2 linked regions of the Canis lupus familiaris genome follow. The protein of the gene in region 2 interacts with the protein of the main gene of each other region in a pairwise test. Links are inferred from orthologs where the notes say so. Each region holds a gene or a part of one and is shown on either strand. Other genes may lie near its edges.

What was found. The genes of interacting proteins can lie anywhere in the genome.
Region 1: the proteins of PITX1 (region 2) and SPAG8 interact in binary tests that used the Homo sapiens proteins (3 or more experiments, as listed by UniProt). The link is inferred for Canis lupus familiaris from reciprocal best matches to the Homo sapiens genes PITX1 and SPAG8.

What each region holds. Positions count from the first base shown.
Region 1 is NC_049232.1:52,633,764-52,638,748, forward strand, and holds SPAG8 (sperm-associated antigen 8), read right to left. Parts: upstream 3,087-4,985; 5' UTR 2,967-3,086; coding exon 2,926-2,966; intron 2,824-2,925; coding exon 2,127-2,823; intron 2,002-2,126; coding exon 1,827-2,001; intron 1,629-1,826; coding exon 1,583-1,628; intron 1,499-1,582; coding exon 1,384-1,498; intron 1,270-1,383; coding exon 1,207-1,269; intron 1,103-1,206; coding exon 911-1,102; 3' UTR 782-910; downstream 1-781. Other genes in the region: NPR2 (atrial natriuretic peptide receptor 2), read left to right, coding at 129-220, 351-416; HINT2 (histidine triad nucleotide-binding protein 2, mitochondrial), read right to left, coding at 4,099-4,190, 4,304-4,376, 4,485-4,589, 4,686-4,826. UniProt on the Homo sapiens protein: Microtubule inner protein (MIP) part of the dynein-decorated doublet microtubules (DMTs) in cilia axoneme, which is required for motile cilia beating.
Region 2 is NC_049232.1:23,086,541-23,091,402, reverse strand, and holds the start of PITX1 (pituitary homeobox 1), read left to right. Parts: upstream 1-1,809; 5' UTR 1,810-1,901; coding exon 1,902-2,067; intron 2,068-4,303; coding exon 4,304-4,536; intron 4,537-4,862. UniProt on the Homo sapiens protein: Sequence-specific transcription factor that binds gene promoters and activates their transcription. May play a role in the development of anterior structures, and in particular, the brain and facies and in specifying the identity or structure of hindlimb.

The sequences.
Region 1 (4,985 bases), about 30 Mb from region 2:
TGTCCTGGAAAGACTGAGAACCTTCTGATGGGTGGTGGTTGGGTAAAGCTCTCTCCGATACCACCAATTCTTCTGTTGTCTTTTCTTTGATTCATCTTCCCACCATCCTCGCCCCCATCCCACCCCAGCCCTGAAGATCCATGTCTCCTCCACCACCAAGGATGCCCTGGATGAACTAGGATGCTTCCAGCTAGAGCTTCGGGGGGATGTGGAGATGAAGGTGATGGCGGGCCATGGGGAGGGGTCATGGGAAGGGAGGATGAAAGCAATTATGGGGACAATGGGGAAAAGAGGGAGATAAAGGGGGTAACATAGAAGAATCTGAATTATCTTCACTCCCCCACTTCCAGGGAAAAGGAAAGATGCGAACTTACTGGCTCCTAGGAGAGCGGAAAGGACCTGCTGGACTCCTGTAAACCCTACTTCTTCCCAAGTCACACAGTCTCCTGCTGCTGGTACCTGGGTGGGCAGTGGTCACCGTCTCTCCACACACCAGAAATGGACATTGTTGTGTAGGATGGAAATGAACATGCACAAAAACCCTACCTTATATGGAAGTTGTTGCCCTTTGCAGCTCAGCCTTGTACATATACCTGCCTCACTCTGGCCTGATTCCCTTCTTCCCTACCTTCTGTAAATATCTGTATCTAAACCAGAATATTTTGGCCAAATATAAAACAACAGAAAATGTCATGGTGTCAGAGTCTGGGTTAGGGGCAAGTCCAAGGAAAGATTTTGGAGTGTGAACATGGTAACATATGGAATCACTGAATTGGCAGTCTCAGGATGAGTGAGGACCCTTTATGGAAAGCCCCTTTACCAAGTACAGACAGAATTTACTTCTTTCCCACCTCTCCAGTACAGACGGAGATAGACTCTATATTCCACATCCCTCTTCCCTCCTCAAGCCTTAGATAGTAGTTCTACCCATTTCACCACGTTGTCCTCCTCCCTGACAGGCACGGGAAGATATTTCTCCCAGTTGGTGGGAATAATTCTCAGGTTCATAGGGCAAAGGCTGCCCCAGCGATAAAGGTACTGGTGTCGAGAAGCTGCAGTTCTTCTGGAATGGCGTGTCCAGGGTCTTGATGTTGCTGACACCCTGGAGGAGGGCCAGGATGAGGACAGATCCTGCTCTGTGCCAAGCCAGAACACAGCAGCCTCTTCCCCTCCTTCTTCTCCCCCACTCCCAACACCCTCACACACCGGTAGCTGTGGTGCCCTCTGTATCCAGAAGGTTTCAGGCTGTTCCCATCGGTAGTCATGAGGCTGTAAAAGGAGAACCCGAAAAACTCATGGTTTGTGCTCCCTTTCATATCCTCTGCTGCTTTCCCACAGCCCACTAGAGCCCAGCTGTATAAGTGGTATGGAATAAGTTCTCACCTTGGTTGGGGCAGGAGGCCTGGCTTGTACCAGCTCCTTTCGGTAGTCGTGGTGTGTCACAGACTCGACCTCAGGGTGCTTCCCTGTGGGTTCCTGCTCTGCCTGCACCTCTTTACTATACAGTCCTGGAGGGCATCAGAGCCATTCTTCCCTGATTTTTGTCTTCCCCCTCCCCTTTACCCTTCACCCAGCCTCTCACCAGATCTGATGGTGCAGGAGCATCTCTAGCATGGCTTCACGCTTTCCTGTGGGAGGGCAGGGAATAGAGAATGGGGGAATCTGGTTAAGCAGCAGTCCCAGAGGAAACAAATGTGAGAAAAGGAAGGAAAATCATGGGGTTTTACCCTTCTACCCATTGGACTGGCCATAGTACTACTGGGAATTCCTTCCTCTCTTTTTTTCTCTAATGGGCTCATGCTGGCCCACTCTCTCATGCTTCACACCTCGAATTGGCGGATAGTAGTTTCGTGGGGGCTGGTAGGAGTCTTTCTGGGTGGTGCTGAAGGACATGGGTGACGGTAGCTGCATGGTCAGCAGTCCCTGGTGTCCATGTCGAAAGAAGAAACTCTCAGAGCCATCTTGCATGCTTGGGACTTGATCCAGGTGGTTGGTGGCTCTCTGTGGGCCCCAAGTTGAGTGACCATGATATCCTTTATGGTACCCACCCTCATCATAAACTACTGCCTCCCCCAGGAAACTGGGGGTAGTCTTTGGGAAAAGGGAGCAGGTCAAAACCTTAATACCTCCTCCTCCCAGTTGTAGAGAAGGCAGTGGCCCCGTGGCAATGTTTCATTGAGAACCTTACACTTCCCTTCAACCTGGGGGGTCTTCTGTTGCCCTTGGGCACCAGGTCCTGAAACTTGCAAAAATTTCCAGGGTTGTTTCTGAGGTTCCCAGTGGTGGCTGTAGTGATTCCAGGAGGTATAGTCAGGGACCAGCTCTTCCCCAGGGTTTCTGAAGCTTGGGAGACTGTAGGGGCTGAGCTCAGGGTCATGGCCACAGTCTGGACTAGGCCCAGTGTCAGTGGCAGAACCAGGGCCAGAATCAGGACCAGTGCCTTGACCAGAGTCACAGCCAGGGCCAGAGCCATGGCTAGGACCAGCACTGGAGCCAGGAACAGGGACGGGACTAGAGCTAAGGTCATTTGTAGTACAGGGATCCTGGCTGAAACGGGAAACACAGACAGGCTCAAAGCCAAGTCTCCTCCAGCCTATCTTGTGAGTAAAGCTGGCTCCAGTGCAGGGCTCCCCAGGAGGACGGAGAACGCTCGGCTCAGAGCGGCACTGTGGGGTCTTCGTGGAGAACGCAGCAGTTTTGGCGGTGGTTGCGGCGGTAGCTGCAGCAGTTGTGGCTGCCAGGGCCGACCTAGGATTGCCATCTGAAGGCAACAGTTCTGAAGTGGACCCGAGCCCTTCAGCGCCAGGCTGTACGGCTAAAGATCTAAAAGAAAGCGAATGCATCACAGTTGTCAAAAGCGCAGCACGGTAAGTCCCCTGACCTTCCTTGCCCCCTTATACCTGCAGCCAAAGCTGCAGCTCTCACCGAGACCGCGATTGCCGCCGGGTAGACTCCAGGACCTCCATCTCCCGGCACTAGCCACCGTGTTGCCATAGAGACGACAAACAATTCCAGGAGCCTGCGCAGAACGCGAGTTGGGCGTAAGGGGCTGGGTGGGGGTGGAGGCAAATTCTCTGCGGGGCGGAAGTCTTCAACCTGCCGCTTTCTGGAAGTTTGCTTTCCGTCCAGACTCTGTTCCGCCTCAGCCCAGCTGTTAAAGTTCCGCTCTCCTGGGACCTCTACATTGAAGCATGATTCTTTTGAGACTTTCTACGGTGGTTCTTAGTGTTGGACACAAGGCCAGGGCTGTGATATCAGACAAAAGCATACTTGGTGTGCTGGTGTAGGGGCAACAGTAACCTCCTCTTAGTTCATTCTCAAAAGTTGAAGGATTCTTTTTAAAATGTTTAAGACTGAAAACACATCAAACAACTCAAAAACAAAATGGTGAGACACAGGGATCAGTCAAAGGGTAGCAGTTTTTTGGTGTGATTACTTCTCCTTCAGTAAAGGGCCTACACATTAACCATCCTCCTCCCAGGCCCTCCTTAGAACTTGGCTTGGCATCTAAATGAGAGTCAGGATTGAGCAAGCCTCACTCCTAGGTTTCAGTCTCTTTCAACTCACACAGGCTTATTGCTTGTGTTACTTTTCTAGCTTGACCCAGGTAGACCATTAGTCATGAAGACTCACAGATCTATAGGCAAATGCTTCTTTAACTATAGGATGGGCCTCATTAATGTCTCTCATTCAGACCATAGTCAAGAGGGGTCATTAACTTTTTAATTTTTTAAAAAAGATTTATTTGACAGAAAGAGAGCCTGTGGGCATACAGGTAGGCAGAGTGGCAGGCAGAGGGAGGGGGAGAAACAGGGTCCCTGCTGAGGCTTGATCCCAGGATCTGAGCTGAAGCCAGACACTTAACCAACTGAGCCACCCAGGTGCCCTCAGATCATGATCTTTAATCAGTTTTCTTTCCTATTTGTGGTATAAATCTTTATATATTTAATTATCTATAACATGCATATTATATATAATTATTATATATTTAAGACAGTGATCCAAAATCAAGGGAGAGCAAGTTTATTAGCATCATAGGGTCCCTTTCCCCCCACATTCCAAGCATCAAGTTCTGGGGATCGAGGTCAGTTGGTCGGTTCAACCTGGAGGCCACTGGAGCTGTCGGCCCCCAAGTACGTGAATATGCAGATGATACACAGACTGTGCGCCCATCTTTCCATCGTTGATCACTGAAATAAGAGCTTCAGGTTAGAGGGTCAGGATCATGGAAAAGGTCAAAGATTAAAGATTACATTGAGGGACAGGTATGAGAATTTATAGCTCAAGGCCAAAAGTCACTCACCAAGTCGGTATCCATCTCCTAGGCCTTCAGCCTTTGCTGTCTTTTTGGCCACAAGGAGAAGGTGTCCTAGAAGCTACAGGGAAAGGGGAGGTAGACAGGTGGCTTCCTTCACAGGGAGCAAAACCTCTGTGTCCAGGGCTCCCCACCCCCACAAGCCAAACCTTGGCCCTGCTCTTCCCACCTGCTGGTCTTCTTCTTCAGCCTGGCTAATCCGAGGAATGGGCTTCTTAGGAATGACCAGGAAGTGCACAGGAGCCTGAGGGGCCACATCACGGAATACGAGACACTGGAAGCAGTGACAGGCCAGAGGCCACTATGTTACTTCAACAGGCTGATGGCAGTTGAGACATTCCTAAGGGGACAGGGCCTCAGGGCACCCCACCTGCTGGTCCTCATAGAGAATGTCAGCTGGGAGGCTTCGATCCAGGATCCGGGAGAAGATAGTTGGGGCTGCTCCCCTAGGAGCTGCCTGCTGGGCCTTGGTCACTTCGCTTCCGTCAGTCACAGACCCAGCTGCTCGGACCTGAAGGTGGGTCAGACATACTCAAGGGAGGAAGCCAAGAATATGTCTTCCATATAGTAAGTTGCGGCTGGCAGAGGCTGGGCTCTGTTAGTCATTAACTTCATCCTTCTAAGAACTGCTTAGTGGTTCCCATACAAAGGAAAATTTCCATTTCAGAGT
Region 2 (4,862 bases):
CTCACCCCCAAGCAGAGACACTCCCTCCGCCCCAGGAAGAGATGAGGATGCACTGGGCCCTGTGGTGAGGCGCTGCACCTGGAGAGTAGAGCAGTGCTTCTCCTCCGGGTTACTGTCCTGCCCAGCGCTACTCCTATCTGGGGGAGTTGGTCAGCAATCGAGGGGCGGAGGGCAGCCTGGGGTCTAGCTGTGGCCAGAGGCACGGGTCAGGGTCGCACCCTACCACCCTAGCTGCCGTCTATTTATTCAAGACTCTGAGGTCTCGGGGCTGGTTAACAATTGTTCGGCAAAATCCTTCAACAAACTTCACTGTCATAGGAGGATTCCAGAAGGGGATCATTCTCAGAGGTGGGGAGGGGCCGGGCGGTGTCTGCCCCCAGGAGGCCTCGGCGGTGCTGCCGCTCAGCTACTGCTGTGTGAGAGAGAGAAGCTCAAAGGCGGTAGGCTTCCTGGACTGCGGACTCCGGGCTGGGAAACTGCAGGCACCTGGCCTGCTCGCGAGGCCAGGTGCCTGCAGCTCTGGAAAGCCCAGAGGAGGCCCCAGATCGCTACAAACCTGCCCTGAAGGGGGCAGAAGCCAACCCCCTGGCTGCCAAGGCCGGGGCCTGGCTGATTCGGCTGGACTGGTGCAAAACAAGGGAAGAGAGCCCTGCAGAAGAGGCTGTGGGGCCTGGCGGGGCTCTCGGGGTCTCCTGCTGCACTCGCCAGAGGCCTGGAGCCAACAGAAACGTTTCGTCTGATTAGAAGCCATCAGTTCAATCCCAATCCCGGAAAATTGACTGCGGTGCAGAGGGGGAGGCCAGAGAAGCAGCCTTGGACGACAGGGTCCAAGCTAATTAGGAGGCAGCATCCGGGGGCCCATTAGAACGCAGGCTGCTGTCACTCAGCCGGGCTCAGGTCCCGGGAGAAGAGGCCGAGGAAGGAGGGGCCAGCGGCCCCCCGACGGGGACGCCGCCGGGAGCTGCCGGAACGGGCCCCGGGCTCTGCCCCCGCCCTGGCGCTGGCTCGGAGGCGCCCGCTCCGTGCGATCCTGCCCCGGGAACATTCTCTCGTCCTGGGCTGTTCTCGCCGGGGGCTGAGGACTTCGAGGCGGCCCAGACAGGAGTTGATTCTGCGCAAAACAAGTCATCTGGGGCTGGAGGTGGGCACGAGCCGCGCGGGACTTGGAGACCAGATGCGTTTCTTTTGTGCGGCCGAGGGAGAAGTCGGTGTGTCAACGGGGAAGGAGGGAGCGGCGCGGCGCGGCGAGGCCGCGGGGGGTGGGGGGAGGGGGCGGGAGGCGGCGGGAAGGTGGCTGCGGCGGGGGAGGGGGACGGGAGGGGACGGGAGGGGGAGGGGGAGGGCACGGCCGGGGGAGGGCGGGCGGCTCGGGGCCGGATTCCGCCCGCGCTCCCTCGCTCGCCGGCTCCCTCCCTCCCTCCCTCCCTCCTTCCCTCCCTCCCTCCCCCCTCCCCAGCCCCCTCCCACCCGGGCCCACCCCACCCACCACCCCTGGCGCAGGGACTGCTGGAACCTGGCGGTGCGCGCTGTCGCTTTAAGACAGCCTCTGCCGGCGCCGTACGGAGCCTTAGAAACCGGCCCCGGATCGGGAGCCGGAGCCGGGGCCGGGCGGGCGGCAGAGGCCCGAGCGGCGGGAGCGCAGCGCGGAGCGCGAAGCCGGGGATCCGGTCGCGAGAAACCGCTGCCGCCGCCGCCCGCCCGGCCCCGCAGCCCCGGGCGGTCCATGGGGCGGGCGCGGCGTCGCTGCGGGCCCGGGCAGCCCTGGGGGGCAGCCGCTTAGGCGCTGTGCTCTTGTCCCCGCAGGTCGCAGCCAGGGCGGCCGGGCGCGCCCGGCCCCGGCCCCGGCCCCGGCCCCGGCCCCGGCCCCGGCCCCGGGAGCGCCCGCCGCGGTCCCCGCCTCCATGGACGCCTTCAAGGGGGGCATGAGCCTGGAGCGGCTGCCGGAGGGGCTCCGGCCGCCGCCGCCGCCGCACGACATGGGGCCGGCCTTCCACCTGGCCCGCGCCGCCGACCCCCGCGAGCCGCTCGAGAACTCCGCCAGCGAGTCGTCCGACACGGAGCTGCCAGGTAAGCGCGGCTCGGCCCGGCGCGGGGCGGGGAGCGGGGCCTGGCGCCCGCGCCGCACGCTCAGGTTGCCCGAGCCCCGCGAGCTCCGGGACCTCTTCTCCCGGCCTCCGTCGGACCGGGAGCGCGGAAATCTGCGCGCTTGATGAGACGGAATTCCGTGCTCTGCTCCCAGCCGGTGCCCACGCGCCCAGACCCCGGCAGATGCAGGCACCGACCACGGGAGGGTCGGCCCGACAGCCCCTCTTGATCGGGAGCAGACGGAGCCGGAAGAAAAAGAATTCGGTTTGCGCAACGAGTGCCCAGGGGGCCGCTCAGACCGCAGGACAGTAGGTGGAGAGAGGAACGGGGCGGCGGGCGAGAGACGCTGCGCAGGGAGACGGGGTCACACACCCCGACAGGCGGTGGGCACGGATGGAGAGGGAGAAATCCAAGAGAAGGGGTGGCGGGAAAAGTCAGAGAAACAGACTGCGGGGAAGGGGGGACCACCTCAAGTAAAAAAAAAGAGGGCAGCGAGGGCGAGCGGGCCAAGAGGTGCGGCTCAGCTGGCGGGCAGGCCCCCCTCGTGGAGGGACCCGGGAGCCGCCAGGCCGCCCGGCCAGGGCCCGGCTCGGCTGGGGCGCGTCTCCCTCCGCGCCGCCGTTTTGCCCCCCGAACTCAGGCTGCTCCCCCGCAAGCTGGCCGCGAGCGGGGCCGGCGGGTGGGCGGTGCGGGCGGTGGCGCGGCGGATCCTCGGCCGCTCGCGCCCCCGGGTCTCCCGCTCGGATCCCGCGCTCCCCGTCCCGCCGGGCGCCCTGTTCCCCGGGTCGTGGGCGCCTCCGCTGTGCTTTTTTCTTAATCCACCGCTGAGTGTTTCTCTACGCGTTTTTAATCTCTATTTGTTTCTGTTTTGCATCTCTAAGTGACTTTCTCTGAGAGGTTCTGTTTGCTTGGCTAAGAAAAGCAATCCACGCTGGACTGTACTTTTGTTTTCAAAAGTTTGAAGCGTGGCCTTTGGTTGGTTTTTACTTTTTAAAATCTGGAGAAATATACAGCGAGCGATTGCTTTTTAAAACCAACTCCGTGAGGATATATTAAATTTTTTAACTGTGTTTTTCGATATAGAAAGAATCACTACGCGAGGCATATTTCTCTGGAATTTAAAACATCCACATGCAGCATTATTCTTGGAGATTTTTAAAAGTCAATCCAAAATGGCGCGTTTCTCCGGGATTTTTTTTTTCAAAATCCATTTGCAGCAGTGTTAGTTTGGTAATTTATCTAACTATAGTGTTGTATTTCCCTGCGACTTAAAGACTATCCCTAGAAGGGCATTATTAGGAAGGGGCTAAAAAAAAATCTATCTACAACAGTACATTAAGTTGTTTTTTTTTTTATCCCGGAGAAATAAATGCCCGCGTCTGCCTGGAGTTTATACGCGTACAGCACTGTATTTAGTTAGGGGTCTGTTTGCACGGAGGTTTCTTGCTTCTTAATTTGCATTTGCTCTGTGTTCCTACCTGCCTATTTTTAATAGTTTGTGAGCCTTTCCATGGTGTTGGGATAGAATTGAGTTTATCTGGGCTTCTGTATTTTGTTTTTAATTTTTTTGTTTGTTTGTTTCAATGTGTCTATGACTGAATGTGTTTTGTGTACCCTGAGAGAGCGAGAGGCTAGAGCCCCAGGTCACCTAGACAGAGTGTGTGGGTCTGGGCTGCCGCCTGAGGGCTTTTCTGGGCCTCTGGACTTGAGGCCTGGAGCTAAGGCTGAGAACACAGCTGTGTTGTGCCTGCCCAATGTGGCTCCCACACAGCCCTGGGGAGAAGAAAGTAGAGGGGCTGCAGGTTACCGCCTGGCTCCTGCTCCACCGACCCACTGGCTTCAGGCTAGCCAGATTTGATATCAGTTCAGAAGAGCAGAGACACCCCCAGATTTAAATGCCTAAAAGCCCTCAAAATTTCATACATTTGCGGGCGACATAGGCAGTAGGGCTTGAGCCTGAGCCGAGCTGCAAGGGCAGGCCCTGCCCAGTGGGGAACCTAGGCCGGAGCCTCGGGTTCCCTGGCTCTTCGGGGCCGTCCGACCAAAGGTGACTAGTGAGGATCAGGCACCCGACAGGCTCTTTCCAGCGGGAACAAAACTAGGGTTCCTGGCGGGAGGAAGGGCCGCCAGCGCTGATGGCTGGCGCTTCGGTGGAGCCGGGACGGGGTGCGAAAGGGCATAAACCCAAGGTGACTAGGGCCTGTCCTGCCCGATTCAGAGAAGGAGCGCGGCGGGGAAGTCAAGGGGCCGGAGGACAGCGGTGCGGGAGGCGCAGGCTGCGGTGGCGCGGAGGACCCCGCCAAGAAAAAGAAGCAACGGCGGCAACGCACGCACTTCACAAGCCAGCAGTTGCAAGAGCTGGAGGCCACGTTCCAGAGGAACCGCTACCCCGACATGAGCATGCGGGAGGAGATCGCTGTGTGGACCAACCTCACGGAGCCGCGCGTGAGGGTGAGCCCAGCGTGCGCGCCCAAGGGGACCCGTGCGGACCGCTCCTGGCCGGCTCTGCCGCAGCCCTCCAAAAGCTTTAGACCGGCGCTCAGACTTTGTCTCCGTCCCACCACTCTCCACCGGAGAGGAGGATTCAGCTTTAGGCCCGGGTGTTCCGGGTGTTCCGGCGGCTCCTGCTGTGCCCTTTGGTGGTTAGAGCCTTCGGCGGCTGTCGCCTGGCCTATCCTAGTGACCCTCAGGCTCTACTGCAGCCTCACCCCAAGATCTGTGGCCCCATGGGAATTTCCCCTGCCCTGCAGGGCCCAGACCCCATGCGGATGTTAACA